2 linked regions of the Arabidopsis thaliana genome follow. The protein of the gene in region 1 interacts with the protein of each later gene in a biochemical or structural test. Each region holds a gene or a part of one and is shown in the gene's direction. Other genes may lie near its edges. The genes, in order: TGG2 and MVP1.

Region 1 (10,440 bases):
ACCAATGGAGAAAAGGGTCTCAATGGTTTGAGATTAACCGGGAGCTTGCGGTTTCCATTGTCAAAGATACATTATATTACCCTAAATTCAAAGAGTTTTGTCAACCTGCTTGTTATGTGGACGAGCATTATTTCCCAACAATGTTGACAATTGAGAAACCGGCCGCCTTGGCTAACCGAAGTGTGACTTGGGTCGACTGGTCGAGAGGTGGTGCCCACCCAGCTACATTTGGAGCACAAGACATCAATGAGGAGTTCTTTGCCAGAATTCTCAAAGGTGACAACTGCACTTACAATGGTGGCTACACATCCATGTGTTATCTCTTTGCTAGAAAGTTTTCTCCTAGTGCTTTGGAGCCTTTGGTTCAAATTGCACCCAAACTTTTGAGTTCTTGAGTAGGTAACGTCACTAAGAAAACTCATGAATTTAACATAGATATCATATAAATGTATGTGGAGTTGGGGTTAATTGGCTATTAAGGTGAGATTGAATAGTTAGTTTTGGTGGGAGGAGAGACTATTAAATTTCCACGTGTATGATCTTGGCAGGTTATAAAATCTCACTTAGTTGCTCTCTTTTTGTATTTTCAACTAGATTTTAAAACCCGCGGTATACCGCGGGGACAATTTATTTTTTTAAAAGTTAATATATATAAAAGTTTGCAAATTGTATCTATGTATAAAATATTTTTATTTTATAGTTTACAATTGTTATTAAGTAACGTCCTGCCAAACCCATCCCGCCAATCCGTCCCGTAAAAAAACCTATTTATTTTGTTAATGTTGATCTTATTTATGATATGTTTATGAATCATTGTTTAAACATTTTGTAATTTTGTAGTAATTAACTGTTATCAAATATCTCTACGGTTTGATGCTTATAATCGAATTATTATAGTCATGAAAAAAGCAATTTAAAAAATAATAATTTTGTAGTGTTTAAATGATATTAAATATTTTGGAAGTTTTATTTTAGTAACTAATTGTGTAGTTAATGTGGAGAGATTGTGGGAAAGTAGTTAAATGCAAATATTTAATCCTAAGATTTACTTTTTAATTATGAAAAACAATTATTAAATACCAATGACAACCATTGTAAATAAGTTTCAACTTGAGGATTTATTTAACAAAGTGGCTGCAAAAATGTATATGTAGATGGTATGGCATTGATGTATTACAACAAAGTTTGTAAGTAGTTTGTGCCACATCCATAAACAAAAAGCTCTTTCGTGAATGAATATTTGTTCTCAATAACCCGCAACATTTTCAAAGATGATAATCTACCACATTACTATTATTATATTGAATTTTAAGGTTTTGATTGGTTATTTGGTTACTAATAATGACAAAACATTTGGTTCTTTTGACTCACGCTCAAGAGAACCGATGTCTATCTCTTGTTTCGTTTTGGATTTGTTGTTATCGACTTACGCTTATGTAGGGTCGAAAGGTGTTTCTTGTTCCTTGGTTTTTGATTAATAAAACGAGAACTTCAAGTCTTTGATATCTCTGTTTTCTCAAGAAGAAAAATAACAATTGATGTTTATTATTATTTTAAATATAATTTAATATTAGATTAAAAAAACAAAAACAATTGATGCTTGATCCGGTATGGTTTAAACACTTTATAGGCCCAAAGGAATTATTAAATAGGCCCCTAAACATGTAAATTATAGAGTCAACTTTTCTAAAATTTATTGTTATATTTTTGTAAATGTTATAGCTAGAGGGAAAAAAATAGGGAATGTGACACGTTTAGACACTTTTAGAGAATTTTATTCCTTTTGAGGCACTTGTCAGGGATGAGGCACTTTTCCAACTTTTTCATTAAACTTTTGACCAATTTACCCCTGAAAATTAAAAAATTATAATTAAAAAAAAAGTTTCATCTCTCCACGTTCCTTTTTTTTCCTTCTTCTTCGTCGCTTCTTCTTTTCTCTCTCTCTCTCTTTCTCTCTCTTCTCATTATTACTTTTTTTTCTTTCCTTGCAAAATCAAACATTTAAGAGTTTATCAAAATCAAACATTTGAGAGTTTATGGAAAACCCAAGTTGGCAAATTCCAGTATTAAATTTCATATCCATTTGATCGCCTTGTTTGGTACAATTTGATTCTTTCTTGATAAATTGATGTTTCATTGAACGTCTAACCTTAAAAGCATATTCTTTTGCTTATGAGAATCACTTATTTCCACATGGTTACGTTTACGTGGACAAGTTATCATGGAGACAAACTAGCATAATTTTTATCTTCTCTGTCTTCCATGTTTTTTTTTTTTCATCATTTTTATTTTCTTTTTCAAAATCATCAATCATGGTGGTTCTCTATAATTCTTACAAATCATAGAAATTCTGAGATTATCTCAAAATTCTCTATCATAACTTAAAAACGAAGAATATATTAAGAATCAACAACAGAACATTGCTGCTACAATTGATCTTCTTACACGCTTTATATACTTAAACTTGAGTACTTGGACACTCATCAATGGACAACTATGCTTCAGATGTGAGTTACTAGATGACCACTTGGACTAGAGTGCTTGGACACTTATCAATGGACAACTATGCTTCAAATGTGAGTTAATAGATGACCATTTGGACTTGAATGCTTGGACACTCATCAATGGACAACTATGCCTCAGATGAAGTTACATCGACAATGGCCTTTTTGCTGCTACTCGCGTTCTCAACATCACGAACCGTTTCAAGCCCAGATTGCTTAGAAGGTAACTGATCATGGTTAACATCCTCACTTTTCATTGTAATCGATGACAGAGATTCCTTAATCAAGGAGAGAAATAAATGGAACCAAATCAAATAATTGTTGAGAGACAGGGAAGATGATGATAAATCATATGAAATTGGGTTTTTAGTTTTGATTTGGAATATTGAGATTCCCGTAAAAAATTGATTTTGATTTTGGAAAGAGAGAGAAATAAAGACGATGGAGAAAAGAGTTGAGAGAGAAAATGAGGAGAAAGCGTTGTGGTTCAGAGGGCAATTTAGGAATTTTGATTTGGTAAAGTGCCTTCTCCTTTCAAAGTGCCTATTTGTGGCTAAAGTTTCAAAATAGTGCCTATACGTGTAATATTCTCAAAAAATTATGAACTCCTTTTGGTTCTGTTTTATCCGCAAAATTTTCTTTTTTTTTTGCCTCTTTAACCTATAAATTTTCCTTTTATTTTTGTCAACAAAATATTCTCTAAACATTTTTAGCCATAGATATGTGTACGGTCGCATTATTAAACAATAACAACTGAACGTATTCGAACCAAAATTTTTAAAATAATCGAATGGTTAGTAAACTCCCTTATCCAAACTAGCCAAAACTGAACCAAACTGAACCGATGCTTAAACTATTAATTGACATATCCAAAACCCTAGAAAATACCCAAAAATAATATCCAAACTATAATTTTAAACTCAAAATACTAATTATTTTTAGAATCAAAACAATCAAGTACTTTAATTAATCAACATATTCAAATCTTGTTAATATTTATCAAAGTCAAATACTCTATTACAAAACTGAACCAAAATTTAATATTCTTTATAAATTTTTCCTTTTTTGTATTTTCTTTCCGTATTTTTTTGGTTAATTTCTTTTAGTTTCGGTTAATTTTGGTTATTTTGATAAAACCTAACCAAATCGAAAAGTAACCGAACAGAACCAAATCGAAATTCCTAAAATATCTGAATGGTTATTATATTAACATATCCGAACTAACCGATACTAAACGCAAACGAACCAAAACCGACTGGTTAATCGAATGCCATGCCTACCCTGACAAAACAACAAGATTGAAACCCTATATATTTTTTTAGTTAATATATATAAGAAATAAACCTATATTTTCTTAATGTATTTAAATATGAATAACCAATAAAAAAATGTAATGGTAACGAAAATATGACTGTTTTCAGATGAAAAGCACCTCCAATTATTTTGAAACGATTAAAAAGTGCAAAAAAAGTTTTTCCTTTTCTTTTGGAGGACGAGTCTCTGGTTTCATGTGATAAAAGCATCGTCGAGCGGCCACAATCCATAGGATATGTGATGTCAGCGGTGAGGTTCGTGATGAATTTACTTGTTTTTCTTAACGAACGCATTGTAACTCTAAATTAAACAGTCGAAAATATATCTATAAACGTTTTCAATAACTCTCTGGTGTTAATTCAAAACTCTATGCTCAACATTTTTTTTTTTTGGATAACTAGGAGATAATCCGGCTTTTTACCATCTCACTTCATCAAGATGAGTATAACCATCAAATGGCCAATTCACCGGATTTTCTAATAAGCGTAAAACATACGACTATTTCGACTAACCAAATGAACTGTACGTCCAATTTAATTAAGAGGCTTTGATGAGCATAATCTACTACAAGGAATCTTTGCCCAAAACACAAAAAAAAACAAACAAAATCTACTACAAGGAATCTTGATCCATATCCTTCTAGTTTTGCGCAAACCTGCGATGCATGCCATGCTAATCCCCAATCCAACCCAAATTGACGCGGCGGCATAGGCACAAGAAGAGATTAGGGGTGGCATTTGATCCCATAAAATTATTAAAATTTCGCGTACATTTTTGTCAAAAAAAAAAAAAAGTGGTGTAAATTCAATTGACCAGAAAATTAGCAAAATTTACCTTTTCCCACCAATAAATATTTGTTTGAAAAGGTAAATATTCATATTTATTTATTTGTATATTTTAACCATGATGAATGTTTTTATTATTATTCCCGTATTCCGGCACTGCTTGGCATCCGTGTGGTGTTGATTTGGTAGATGTCACACAACCCATTTCTCTTTACCAAATAAACTCTAAAAATAGAAATAATCAACGGTTTTTTTTTCTAATTTATATATCAAGAGTATATTTTAATTTTATTTTTAATCAACAGTTCACAGTTGAGAGCTTGAGATAAAGAAATTTTCATTATATCAAATATAATCTAACCCATTCTCAACGTGGGAAAAAGAATTAGTATCGGTGACACTGAGATAGAGTACGTGTACGTGAACCCTTGAACCCACGGGATTCATGTCACCTAAACCTCCGGAAAATAATAAGCACAATGTAATGCATAGGTCAGTACTCTTCTTTACAAAGGCTATATAAACCCTAGATTGGCACAAGGCTTCCATGCAACACAACACATACATCTACATATTAACCATGAAGCTTCTTGGGTTCGCCTTAGCTATTCTATTAGTTGTGGCGACTTGCAAACCTGAAGAAGAGATTACTTGCGAAGAGAACGTTCCATTCACATGTAGCCAAACAGATCGTTTCAACAAACAAGATTTCGAAAGCGACTTCATCTTCGGTGTTGCATCTTCTGCTTACCAGGCATGTAACAAAAGTACACATTGTATTGCCAGACCGAAATGATTTAACGTCAAAACTCTAAAATCCAACGTTGCATGGTTGTTTCTTTTCATTTCAGATCGAAGGCGGCAGAGGTCGTGGACTTAACGTTTGGGATGGCTTCACTCACCGATACCCAGGTTTGTCATTTGCATGATTCCTATAAATTAAGTTTTACGTATCCATATGATTTTTTTTTTGTCCAAATGACGTATCATATTACGTATCCATATGATATGAAATATTTCTTATGTATATATGTCTCTATACATTCATAGTAATGTCATTATATACGTACGCTATCAGAGAAAGGTGGAGCCGATTTGGGCAATGGAGACACTACTTGTGACTCATACCGGACTTGGCAGGTTAATTTCTCATCACTATATATATGCACTGAATGATCTATTAACTGCGTGTGGATTAACATATGATTTTGTATATAAACTGCAGAAAGATCTAGACGTGATGGAAGAGCTTGGAGTTAAAGGCTACAGATTCTCCTTTGCGTGGTCAAGAATCCTTCCAAGTATGTACACATTATTGATCCATATATGTATATAGTAACATTGGATTGTGATTGTTTGGAAGAGTATTAAATATACAATATATAAATGAGCAGAAGGAAAGAGGAGTAGGGGAATCAACGAAGATGGTATTAACTACTACAGCGGTCTCATAGATGGCCTGATCGCAAGGAACATAACGCCTTTCGTTACACTCTTTCACTGGGACCTTCCTCAATCATTGCAAGATGAATATGAAGGTTTCTTGGACAGAACGATCATGTATGTTATTGATGTCATGCTGCTTAATAAGAAAGATTACAAAATACGTAAATATTTGAAATTGCATTAAGGAAATGATTATATATATATAAAATATGCGCAGAGACGATTTCAAAGATTACGCGGATCTATGTTTCGAGAGATTTGGTGATAGAGTAAAGCACTGGATCACCATCAACCAGCTTTTCACAGTGCCTACGAGAGGCTATGCATTGGGAACAGATGCACCCGGTCGATGTTCCCAATGGGTGGATAAAAGATGTTACGGTGGAGATTCTTCCACCGAACCCTATATCGTTGCGCATAACCAGCTTCTTGCTCATGCCACGGTCGTTGATCTATACAGGACGAGATATAAGGTCAGGTCTCCAATATTTGTGAAAGGTGCATGTGATGTAATACTATAATATTTTAATTAATATTGTGTATATATATGTCTATGTGACCACAGTACCAAGGAGGGAAGATTGGACCTGTGATGATAACTAGATGGTTTCTACCATATGATGACACTCTAGAGAGCAAACAAGCAACTTGGAGGGCCAAAGAATTCTTCTTGGGATGGTATATATCAATATCCAAAAATAAAATGATTTTTTTTTTTATAAATGAAATGATTTTAAAAATTAATATGTAAATTAATAAAAATATGTATGTACGTACATCAGGTTCATGGAGCCGCTAACAAAGGGTAAATACCCATACATCATGAGGAAACTTGTTGGTAATCGGCTTCCAAAGTTCAACAGCACAGAAGCTCGCCTTTTAAAGGGTTCATATGATTTTCTTGGTCTCAACTATTACGTCACTCAATACGCCCACGCCCTTGACCCAAGTCCTCCGGAAAAACTCACTGCCATGACGGACTCACTCGCAAACCTTACATGTACCACTCTCTATATACTTTCATTTCATTAGTTACAACCTTTCTATATTTTGGTAATCACAACATTTTGTGACCATCAAGTTATATCATCCTTGTGTTTACAGCTCTTGATGCAAATGGTCAACCCCCTGGTCCACCGGTATGCATGATTCACCCTTATTATTTCATTCATTTTACGCAAAATATTATGATTCATAGTATCTTCTCTTTCTCAGTTCTCTAAAGGCAGTTATTACCACCCAAGAGGGATGTTAAACGTAATGGAGCACTTCAAAACCAAATACGGTGACCCTTTAATCTATGTCACCGAGAACGGTTAGTTCTACTACTCATCTCTTTCATCTATACATGTTAAGTGTATTTCAAAAATGGTTCAAGATATTGACTCAAATACTGTGGAATTAGGATTCAGTACCTCCGGTGGCCCCATACCCTTCACCGAAGCATTTCACGATTACAACCGGATTGATTATCTCTGCAGTCATCTATGTTTTCTCCGCAAGGCCATCAAGTGAGTGGATGCTACTCTTCTTTAGTTGTTCTTTATCCATATCAATATAACATATTTATGATCAGTCAATCATTCAAAACGTTCTTGTTTCTAGGGAGAAGCGTGTCAACGTGAAAGGATACTTTGTTTGGTCTCTTGGGGATAATTACGAATTCTGCAACGGCTACACCGTCAGATTCGGACTTAGTTACGTTGATTTCAATAATGTCACTGCTGATAGAGACCTCAAAGCTTCTGGCTTATGGTACCAGTCGTTCTTGAGAGATACCACCAAGAACCAAGATATCCTCCGCTCAAGTCTGCCCTTTAAGAACGGGGATAGGAAGAGCCTCACATGAAAGACCAAAACCACTTTATGCCCATCGAGATCATCTTCATGTCTCTTCTTTCTACTTGCTCCATAGATAAAAGGAGCTTCTACCTACTGTATTAAATAAAAGATGATCAAACTTAATAAATATTTTGTATACTACATTATGCCATGGGATGGGGAAAAATCCGATGAAACCAAAATTGAACTAAACTCGAAATGCTTAGTTGTTTATCATTTTAAAACCAAAACTAAAAAACCGAAACTGAAATTTGTTTAAAAACTAATTTTTTTTTGTTTTCTTAAAAACAAGAGAGCAAAAAAAAACGAACCAAAAATTGTTTAGTGTAACCAGATAACAAAATCTATTTGTTTTCAACTTTAATTACATTTTCATATTTTATAGGGGAAGACGGAGATATGATGTACAACATAAAAGAATGATGTAAAGTTCAAAGAATGTTTTAAGGAAGATGATGGATTAGTTAATATCTTAAACTAAGTTTCCTTATACTTCATTTTTAACTTCTATCAAAGATAACTACATCTTTTAATATTATTTTATATATTTGATACTCCTATTTCTTTACATTTCGGTGTGTTTACATACAAATTTGTTTGTGTATAACTTAAAATGAGTTAAAATGTAATTTCCATCTAAAACCACTGAGACCCTTTTCTCCATTGGTCTATGGAAACTTCAGGGGCCATGTTGCCGTAGTAGCGGCCTCGGCCATAGGCACTGGGATGATCAAATTAACCTATAAAGCTATGCTCTGATTCGGTTATGTACGTGTAGATAGTTGTGAAGTTGAATAGGGGAATGCATGACTCGGTGAGGAGAACAAACCATTCGTTTGAGATATCGAGTAGCGCATAGGCATAGAGGGTGAAGTTTTCATGTCCACGCCGAGTCAACTCGAAAGTTTGTGCTAAAGTAGAAGTCTAGAAGGATATATATGCATCAAAATTTCTTGTAGTAGAATAATTGATAATGACATATAATAGATTTTTAAAATTTTATCGGGGTCAACTGACCCTCCTATCAAAGCCATGCCTCCGCCACTGCCGAGGATACTAAGACCATCCTCAATGGTAGTATATTAACAAGGGTTTTTAGCAATTTTTTAATTATTAATTTTGAAACTGTTAAACTTAGAGCTTGGGTAAGAATTTTAGTTTTTAGCATTGTCCAATGGTAGTATTTTAAATTGGGTTCTTAAAAAAAGAGTCAAATTTTTTTGGTGTAATTGGTGTTTGAAGAGTTGATAATCACATCAAAACTTGTCAAATGCAAAACATAGATTCATGATCTACGTACACATATTTAATTTGAGTGACTATAATTCAGAGATTCAGGTACAACATATTAAAGCTAAATATGATGATGCTTGCAATAAAGCTTAACCTTGTGAGCTATGAAAACCTTAATAGCAGCATAGTTTTCTCAACAGATTCAGTGAAAGGAATCTCAGGAGCGTATGTGACGAAATCGGAGAGGTTACGGAGAACAGCTGATTTCATCAAACAGTGGGATTCAATATCTTGCATGGTGGAGCCACCGGGTTAGAGTGTTGAGAGCCACCAAAAAATCCATTGCTTCAGTGTAAACCAATTTGAACTCCACAACTAACCTCAATAGCTTACTGGTAAACTCTTAAACCTCATAGCAGAACGATATTATATAACAATAACATATATCCTACAATTGAAATAGAAAAGAGAGAACACATAATCATCATATACATTAAAACAGGAGCAAAATTGAATTATAAATAGAAGAACTGAAAGGATAAATACTCACCATAACATTGTGATGAAGCTGATCAGGAAGCTTCTTGACGAGATTGTCGTTTTGTTGAAGACGAACTCGCCGATTAGATGAACGAAAGTCACCGTGGAGAGCCAGTGTAGGTGGAGATGATGACATAACGGCGGAAGGATGGCCGAAGTTCAGAAAAATTAGAGACTCCTTCGATTGTTTCAATTTGAGGCAGAGATACAGAGAAGGAATCGAGTTAAAGAGATAGAGAGAAGGAAGAGGAAGAGGAAGAGAGTAGATTTTTTTGCTTTTATATTTCTTCCTCACTTTCTTAATGAGCGACACGTGCCGCCTCTTACTTTAATTTTTTAGCTCTTACCTAAGAGGCGCTCTTGAGATAATACCCATTAAAACATTAATTTTAAATAGGATTAAACATAAGAACCAGCTTAAAACCTTGCGTTGCGGATGCTCTAAGGTTTCGAAACAGAATCGTTCACACTGGTTACAGAATTTGACCGAGCCGCCAAAAGAGAAGTGAAGTAGTGCCCTTTATTAACGCTGGAATTCCTCGATGGAATTTGATGTCTCTGGTGATTTTAACTAGTTCCGAGCTCTAATTTCTGTTTTATGTGATGTTTTGATTTTTATAGTCCATTTTGCCAAAGTTAATGTATATTAAAAAAAATAATACAAAATCCAAAAAATATTGTAGTTCTAAGTGCTGCGGCGGGACTAGATTATAAGGTGTGCTACTATACATTGGTTTGTTTTTTCCAAAGTTTTTCTTTTCTTTTTAACATTCTAT
Region 2 (9,403 bases), on another chromosome or scaffold:
TTTCCAGCGTCGAAGTTGGAATCTCCGAAAGTGAACAAACCCACCGCCGGAAGATTCTGCCCGGAGATGGTGACAAGGTTATGAAGGAGAGGAAATACCAGTAATATTCCTAGTACACTCACTGAACTACACTCCATTTTCAGTTAACCAGAAGGAAGAATGATGAGGTACAATAAGTTCCTCGGTCCTCTAATATATTTATATTGTAAAATATTTGGAAATAAAAGAGCTTTTAACATGTTCTATAATTGATGACAAAAAAAAAAGAATGTTCTATAATTAAAGATTAAACGAACTCAGTTTAAAATAAAGAAAAAAGTTTGGGGAAAAAATATCTAATAAAAATATAAACGTTAGAAAATATATATTTATTGTAAACGTTAAGAGCTGTTACGTAATTATAGAACAAACAAAAAAACAATTATGTAACACAATTTTTTAAGAAAATAAAACGTTTCGCAAAAATGTCATGTAAAATCATTGTTAGCAAAAGAAAACCACAACGCCGTGAATATTCAATCTCTCACGTTTTTGCTATGTCTTATATCAATTGAAACTAACTAGTTAGTTTCTACAGTTCTTCTACCTAGACACGTTTGTTCTATTTTTAATAAGGTTGAGAAAGATGTTTTTCTTTTTCCTTTTGTCAAAAAGTTGCTGCTCTAGAAAGCAGAACACACTTGAGCATTGAGCGACCAAAAAAAGAAGAAGAAAGACTTGAGCAATGATTAATGTTTTTTCTCTCACAGTTTTTAAATTACCCTTAATAATTTTTTTTGTTAACCCTTAATAATTAATGTATTCAAGTTTTGTTGAACCAAAACATCATTTATTTTCAAGAGATTTTTTTAATAGTCTTTATCTTGTTAAAAATAACTTCTTCTTTTTGTTAAAAATAATTAAAAGAGCACCAATGTATATTCAACTAAACTACAAATCTTAAAAAGTAAAAACTGAATCCTATACTTTCTAACCGAATCTTAAACATGAATTCCTAAATCCCTAAAACCTTATTTAAACCCTTTATCCATGCTTCAAAGTTTCAAATTCTTTACAACTAATCAGTATAAATTGATCTGACTCAAACTCAAATATATATGCATATATATATATATATAATATTAATGATATAGAAAAAAATGAAGAAACTCAAAATCACGGGTCCATCAAACTGCGACATGATAATGATTAAAAAAAAAAAGTTGCGACAAGATAAATCTCAATTTGTTTTTGCATTTTTGAAGAAATATGTTAGTTAGAAACAGGGGCGGACCTATTTAGGAAAAAGGGGGGTCACTTGACACCCTCAACTCCGGGATCAAATCTCTAGCATAACACTTTTGCTTCTTTTTTCTCCATTTAGCTTTAAATACATGTATTTTTATTGTCTTATATACATTTTTTCTTTTAGATATTACACTAATTAATATACTATTTATAATTGCCTATGAAAATGCCACTGGTTAGAAGATATTTAGTCATGTAGAACAACCTGTTAGTTATAGGGGAAAATGCTATTGTAATTCACATTTTTATTTTATTTCTCAACCACCACCAACACATGCATGTGTGTTGTTGTGCCCACACTTTTTCAATAAACTTAAAATCAAGTAAACTTAATAAAAATTATAGTAAGTATAAAATGATATGGACCAAATCTATGAATAAGTTTAGTTTAAATAGTAGATTTGTAAGATATTCATTATGTTTTATAAAAAGTGTAATAATGACATGTTTTTGATAAACTATCTTAATAATGACATGTTTCACACAAATTAAGATAATTACGCAAATTTTTACTATATCACATGACTAAATTTTTTAATAAGCTGTAAAGAAAAACTATATCAGAAAACATAAAACAGCTCACTACTGGCCAAAAAAAGTGTTAAAATGTTAGTCAAAATTTCAAAAAAGAAAATATGATACGTACATGAAATTAATTAATTAATTCCATAACATTCGTAGAAGCAATACGTTATCGCCAATCAATAATTTGACTAATTCAAAATATCGTTTTCGTTATCGAGGTGAACACATGGAGCTGCTGATCCATGAATGAAGTTACAATCTTGTATCCAAATAAAATAATTATTTATGCCCTCAGGCCACCGAAAAAAATTAAAAATATGGCCACATAGCGACAATTTCGTGATAAAACAAATATATTAATATAATATACATATATATATATATATTAAACTAGTATAAAAGTAAATTTTATAGTACCTATCACATAAATTGTCAAAGATAAAATTAGTTATTGATAATACAATGACTATGTTATCTTTATTTAAAAAATTAAATTAATTTAAATATTTCTAAACAATTCTAAATCAACATCATAGTATGATAAGTTTACATTTTTCTGAGCGTAATATTGAATTATTTTTCAACATTTTTGTGATTTGAGTTGGAACAATATCTACTCCATTTGTTCCACCAAATTTGATATTGTGAGATTTTCACACAAATTAAGAAAAACAACTTTTATATTTTAAAATTATTGTTTTGTTAGTTTAATAATATTAACTATATATCTCTCTTCTTTTTATTGGTCAGCAATAAAAAAATTAATGATGTGATATAGAACATCAATCTTTGTGAAACAAGAAAAAAAATAATTTTTAACACTAAATTTATGCACTAGTGGAACATTTGAAAATGTGTGTTATTTTTAGAAACAAAACTTATTTTTGTATTATTTGTGAGAATTTTTCAAATATAAATTACTTCTATATAACTTTTTGAAAATAATTTAATCTTTAAAAGAAAAATATTAATCTCTTAACACTAAATTTATGCTATTAGTAGAACATTTGCAAATGTGTGTTATTTTTAGAAACAAAACTTATTTTTGTTGTGAGAAACTAAGAATTCCTCAAATATAAATTACTCATATATATAAGTTTTGAAATTTATAAGCTAATATTTTTTGTAATAATTGGTTTATTTTGATTCCAAATTCAGTTTTCAAATTCAAGTTCAAAATTGTTTGTAATCTTTGAAAATAAACATGAGAAAAATACTATAAAACTTTTCTAAATAAAATAATAATTTTATCATTTGTTCACATGGAAGTGGATGTAAAATGAAGTTATACTAGATTTTAACCCGCGGTATACCGCGGTGACAATTTATCTTTTTAAAGTTAGTATAACTTTTTTTTGCAAATTATATCTGTCTATAATATATTTTTATTTTATACTTTACAATTATTATTAAGAACGTCTTGCCAAACCCGTCCCGCCAAACCCGTCCCGTAAAAAAAACATTTATTTATATTAATGTTGATCTTATTTCTGATATGTTTATAAATTATTGTCTAAATATTTTTGTCGATGCGGGACGTTGAACCCACACATTTTTTGCCAGTTGGTTAATATATGTTTATTTTAAAAAATTTGAATCATAAAATATGACAGAAAAAATTAAGATTTTTTTAAACTCTATATATTATATAATGATGTTAAACAATTGTGATATATCAAACTTTTTATAAGTTTAAATATTAATAATGTTTTATAAATTTTATATATATAAATAATAATATTTTAAAAATAATATTTTTGCTTATAAGGTAATGACATAATAACTCTAAAAGCAAGGATTTAGAAGATTTAAATCTTTAATTAAATATTTTCATTGATAAATAATTAATGTCAGTAACATGACATTGTAAATAAGTTCAAATACAAAATTTATTTATTTAAACAAAAAACGTTTAGTAAGAATAATATTTATTTAACAAAAAACTTTGTTTTAAAATATTGTTAGCAAATATATTTATGCTAATTTTAAGGGATTAATTTGAAGTTTGTTGGGATTAAATTTGATTGATAATGTGATTGACAATTTAAATCAAAAATTTAAAGTAAAATTAATTATTTTGGAAAAAAGATTTAATGCTAATGGCATTAGATTGTAAATAAGTGTCAAGTAGAGGATTTATTTGCTAAAATGGCTGCAAAAATGTATATATAAATTAAAAATATGAAATAATTTAATATGACTAAAATAAAATAATGCCACTTCTAAAGGACTAACGAAAGAATAGTCTTCTTGTAATAATATTCTTTTAAAAAAATAGAAACGTTGGTCACGAGGCCTCATCAATGCTTTTGATACCTTCCTTCACCGCAAATTCTAACGAACCACCACCGTCGAAGCTTTCTCTTTCCGATCTTTCAATGGCGATTCTCAAATCTCACTTCTTCTTACTCTTCCCTCTTCTTCTTCTCCACTTTCACACTGTCTCCTTTGCTCAGACGCTCTTTGTGTTCGGAGATGGTCTTTACGACGCCGGAAACAAACAGTTTCTCTCTCAGAACCGAGTTGACGCAAGCTTTCCTCCTTATGGAGTCACTGTAGGACAAGCCACCGGACGGTGGTCCGATGGTTCTATCGTTCCTGATTATCTTGGTAATTGTATTGATCACTTCAAATATCTATAACTATTTATTCATTTGTGTTTAATTTGATTGTTTTTTTTTTTCCTTTAGCTAAATTCATGGGAATTCCTAAAATCTCTCCGATTCTCCTAACCACGGCGGATTTTTCTCACGGAGCTAATTTCGCCATCGCCGACGCTACCGTTCTTGGCTCTCCTCCGGAGACGGTCAGTTTTTTTTTTGTTTTGCCACCGCTAATTTCTCTGTAGTAATTTAAATTCACTTGCTGGATTTCATTTTATGGTTCTTACTTTGATTCTTGCAACTTTAGAATTAAGTATTGTAGCCAAGTCAAAATCTGGAATTGAGTTTGACTTCTGTGGTCTCTAATGCAAAACCGATGTTATCTAGAAACAATCTAAAACTTGAGAAAAAAAAACAGAAAATTCTAAAACTTGAGATTGCAAAAGTATAGTGTTAGGTCAAATCTTGAAGGAGTTTTAGGTTAAAATAGATCTTTGAATGATTTTTATACAGATGACTTTGTCACAACAAGTGAAGAAATTCTCGGAAAACAAGAATAAGTGGACAAATCAAACACGTTCTGAAGCTATCTACTTGATCTACATTGGTTCTGATGATTACTTGAGCTATGCTAAGAGTAATCCAAGTCCATCAGATACTCAGAAACAAGCTTTTGTTGATCAAGTCATCACTACCATAAAAGCAGAAATAAAGGTTAGAACTCGCAGCAGCTACAACATCTAAGCTTTGATTAGCAGTTTTCAATATTTTTTATTTGTTTTCGTATTTCAGGTGGTTTACGGGTCTGGCGGAAGGAAATTCGCATTCCAGAACTTGGCACCGTTAGGTTGCTTACCGGCCGTGAAACAAGCAAGCGGAAATGTTCAAGAATGTGTGAAATTGCCTTCGGAAATGGCTGCTTTGCATAACAAGAAACTTTTGCAGCTCTTGGTTGAACTATCAAGAGAACTAAATGGTTTCCAGTACTCGTTTTACGACTTCTTTAGCTCGATCCAAAACAGAGTTATCAAGTCTAAGACTTATAGTAAGCCTTTTATCATCATCGTCACGATAACGTTTTACAAACGTTTTGACATCTGTCTTGTCTGATGCAGCATTCGAGACAGGAAACGCTGCTTGTTGTGGAACTGGCTCTATCAACGGGAGTAATTGCTCAGCTAAAAATGTATGCGCCAAGCCTGAAGAGTATATCTTCTTTGATGGTAAGCATTTGACGCAAGAAGCCAACCTTCAGGTCGGGCATTTGATGTGGGGAGCAGATCCGGAAGTGATTGGACCGAACAATATCAGGGAGCTTATGGTCCTTCCTCTAGACATTACAGTCATCTTAGCTGGTATACAAGAAGCTATGGCTGCCATGAGACCGAGACAGAGCAACATTGAGAGTCTCTATGATATCAAGAAGATGGAGTCAGAGATGGATAATCATTGGCTTTATCAAGTTGACAAAGCTATCTCCTTTATGATATAAGATTGTGGTTACAGTTTGATTTAAGCGAGAGAGTTTAAGAGCTAGTGTAACAAAGAACTAGCAAGAAAACTGAAACATCCATTTTTCTTGTTTAGTAATAAAACAATCAACCTTATTAAGTCAATTAGAAGCTTTACTGGACCATTTCCATGGGTCCAATATAGCCCATTAGTATTGTCTCACTCAGTTTCCGTAGCCCCAATTTAGCCCACTTGGCTTCTTATTCGGTGTTAAAACATAAGATTTAAGACCATCTGAGAAAAATCAAATGACAATTTTGTAGGAATTTCACTGTATTGTCTTAAACACGTACTTAAAAGACTCATACTGGCATGTACTTATGGTAATTTTTACAATGACAACAAATTTAAAACAGGTTATATAAAATTGGCTCTTTATTAGTAATAAACTAATAATTAACACGACTAACCACAAAAACAACATAAACCTTAACATATGCATTAAGCTGAATTGACTGCATGTATAGAAGTAGATATCATCAGCACGGCCGTTGGTCGGAAGCTTTCCGCCATGTACGAAGATACCTCTTTTTCCATAGATGGTGGCAGTGGTGTAGGCAGTGCCGGGTTAAGTAAAAAGGCGGACAATGCGACCGCCCTATATCCGGGAAATTTTCTTTAAAAAAAAAAAATGAGCACAATATTTTTTTTTGTATATACCAAAGAGGTACAAAAAAAAAATTATACATGCAAAAGAGACACAAAATATATATGTTTAAATTTTTTGCTATAAGGCACATAAATGGTATGAGCCGGCACTGGGTGTAGGTGGTCCAACCACGTGGCATCTCCGGTTCATTTCCTCCTCCAAACTTCTCCCAGACTTGTCTCAGTGTTCAACGCATCACCTTCGGTAGACAACGTCCCTGGACGGCTGGACCTTAATGTGCCTTTGGGTCTCGCCAGATCTCACCTCCAAATATTATTATATGTTTTCCCGCTGTTGCATATGCAAACACGCTCATTGCTGAAGGCTTTGCTCCCGTACTCTCTACTTCTGTGTCTGTCAACTTTCCAAAAGCGGGATCCAAGAATTGCACAGCATTAGACTCGTAGTCACTTTTCCCTCCAGGCAAACTTGAAGTCACAAACCCATAAACCACCCAAATCATGACTTGCGCCACAAGGAATCCCGCACCTCTACCCAAACTCGTAGTCACAAATTTCATGCTACGGTATATGTTAAGACTTAAAAGTTAAAACCATTGAGAGAAAATAAATGATAATACGATAAAGTTGTAGATAATTCAATCTTTAATTATTAACACATACACATAATTTGTAATAAAACAGCCAGCCATAAATAAATTGGCTCCTTATTGGACAATGATACTTAAGGAACCACTCACACAACCATGAGTAGGCCTCATTAGAGTAAAAAAGCTCGACGAGTCCCACACACAGATAATTTGTAATAATACAGCAAACCATTAGGGCTCCTTATTGGATAGTAATAAATATTAACGAGCCACACACACAACACAAATCTTGACACGCATTAAGCTGAATTGACCGCATAGAAGTAGAGATCATCAGTTCGCTCGTTGGTCGGAAGCTTTCCGCCATGCATGAGGAGGCCATTCTTTCCATCGACAGTGGCAGCAGTATAGGCAGTCCAACCTCGTGGTATGGCTGGTGCACCTTCTTCTCCCAACTTTTCCCACACCAGTGTCTCGGTGTCCAACGCATATCCCTCATTGGACAGCGTCCCGGGACCATAATGCCCATTGAGATCAGGCCATACCTCACCTGCAAATATTATTATATACTTTCCCACTACCGCATGGGCAAACACGCTCCTTGCGGAAGGTTTCGCTCCTGTAGTCTCTACTTCGGTCCACTTTTTGGAAGCCGGATCATAGAATTGCACAGCATTAGACTCATAGTCATCTTTGCCTCCGGGCACAATCGAGGTCGCAAACCCATAAACCACCCAAATCTTCCCTTGTACCACAGCGAATCCCGCTCCTCCTCTTTTCTCGAAGTTATCTCCTGGATCCGGTAGCTGAGCCCATTTCCCATCAGCAATGTTATACGCCTCGATTGTCCTGAACCGCGTGGGAGTATTCATAGTACCGCCTTTGCTCACCCCACCGAATACATACACATGGTTTTCATCCGAAGCCATCGAATGGAAAGTACGAGCCTCGGGTCCTCCCACCTCATCAAGCTTCGTCAGGAATGTCCACTCGGATGTCACCGTATCGTAGGAGCGAAAGTTTTCGAAGTTGCGGTTCTCATCGCGGCCTCCAAAGATATAGATCTTAGTTCCCACGGCCACCATGCGCACGCCTAAGCAGGATACAGTTGGGGCGTCTCCTTTGGGTTGAGCGATTGACCAAGTTTGAGTGTTGAAGTCAAAGACGTAGAGGTCTTTGTCGATGTGTTTGTTTGGTGTTAACTCGCCGCCGAAACTGTAGAGCTTGTCTCCGACCGCGGCTATGCCGTGTGAACTTCTAGGTCCTGGTCCCGTTCCTCCTTTCTGCCCCACCTATTTATCACCAACATAAATCATACGATGATAATGCATGTGTTTCTTTAATTTCCTTTGATAATTATGTAACACTAGATTTTAATCCGCGGTACACCGCGGAGACAATTCATTTTTTAAAATTAATATATATAAAAATCTGTAAATTATTTTATAGTTTACCATTGTTACTAAGTAACGTTCTGTCAAACCCGTCCTGCCAAACCCGTCCAAAAAAAAAAACTATTTACTTTATTAATATTGATCTTATTTATAATATGTTTATGAATCATTGTCAAAATATTTTAGTCGTTGCGGGACGTTGAACCCACATATTTTTCGCCAATTGGTTAATATATGTTCATTCTTAAAATTTCGAATCACAAAATATGACGAATTTTTTTTTGAGATCTTTTTAAACTCTATATATTATATAATGATGTTAATTATTTTTGATAGATTAAACTTTTTATAAATTCAAATATTAATAATGTTTTATGAAGTTTAAATATACAAATAATAATATTTTAAAAAATTAATATTTTTTGCCTTTTAGGTAATGATATAATAACTCTAAAAGCAAAAATTTAGAAGATTTAAATCTTTAAATAAATATTTTCATGTCTAAATAATTAATGTGAAGTTTATGCTAATTTTAAGGGATTGATGTGAAGTTTGTTTGGATTAAATTTGATTGATAATGTGATTGACAATTTAAATTAAAAATTTAATGTAAAATTAATTATTTTGGAAAAAATATTTAATGCTAATGACATTGAGTTGTAAATAAGTCCAACTCTAAAATTTATTTGATAAAATAGCTGCAAAAATGTATATATAGATGTTATATTAAAAAAACTAGATTCAACGCTTATTAGTTAATGGCTGTGCACAGTACTAAATAGAATTATTAATGATTAAAAATAGAAGTTTCAATTTTTTGGTCAACTATATGGAAACCTTTTAAATACTATGCTTAGGTGTTCTACTTAATTCAAGTATCATC

Evidence for each region.
Region 2: the proteins of TGG2 (region 1) and MVP1 form a complex in vitro, tested with the Arabidopsis thaliana proteins (one study listed by BioGRID).

The regions. Positions count from the first base shown.
Region 1 is NC_003076.8:9,067,580-9,078,019, forward strand, and holds TGG2 (glucoside glucohydrolase 2), read left to right. Parts: upstream 1-5,128; 5' UTR 5,129-5,150; coding exon 5,151-5,357; intron 5,358-5,454; coding exon 5,455-5,515; intron 5,516-5,681; coding exon 5,682-5,743; intron 5,744-5,828; coding exon 5,829-5,904; intron 5,905-5,997; coding exon 5,998-6,163; intron 6,164-6,266; coding exon 6,267-6,522; intron 6,523-6,614; coding exon 6,615-6,727; intron 6,728-6,831; coding exon 6,832-7,049; intron 7,050-7,153; coding exon 7,154-7,188; intron 7,189-7,264; coding exon 7,265-7,364; intron 7,365-7,454; coding exon 7,455-7,560; coding exon of another isoform or gene 7,561-7,564; intron 7,565-7,654; coding exon 7,655-7,898; 3' UTR 7,899-8,198; downstream 8,199-10,440. Other genes in the region: AT5G25970 (Core-2/I-branching beta-1,6-N-acetylglucosaminyltransferase family protein), read left to right, coding at 1-395; AT5G25990 (core-2/I-branching beta-1,6-N-acetylglucosaminyltransferase family protein), read right to left, coding at 8,528-8,612, 8,721-8,815, 9,675-9,800; AT5G25995 (uncharacterized protein), read left to right, coding at 9,252-9,440. UniProt on the Arabidopsis thaliana protein: May degrade glucosinolates (glucose residue linked by a thioglucoside bound to an amino acid derivative) to glucose, sulfate and any of the products: thiocyanates, isothiocyanates, nitriles, epithionitriles or oxazolidine-2-thiones.
Region 2 is NC_003070.9:20,163,570-20,172,972, forward strand, and holds MVP1 (GDSL-like Lipase/Acylhydrolase superfamily protein), read left to right. Parts: upstream 1-4,027; 5' UTR 4,028-4,115; coding exon 4,116-4,422; intron 4,423-4,502; coding exon 4,503-4,618; intron 4,619-4,928; coding exon 4,929-5,129; intron 5,130-5,207; coding exon 5,208-5,460; coding exon of another isoform or gene 5,461-5,525; exon of another isoform or gene 5,526-5,530; coding exon 5,531-5,907; 3' UTR 5,908-6,115; downstream 6,116-9,403. Other genes in the region: AT1G54020 (GDSL-like Lipase/Acylhydrolase superfamily protein), read right to left, coding at 1-137; ESP (epithiospecifier protein), read right to left, coding at 7,426-8,418. UniProt on the Arabidopsis thaliana protein: Involved in organization of the endomembrane system and is required for endoplasmic reticulum morphology and organelle distribution. May act by inhibiting the formation of PYK10 complex by binding to GLL23 and exporting it from the ER.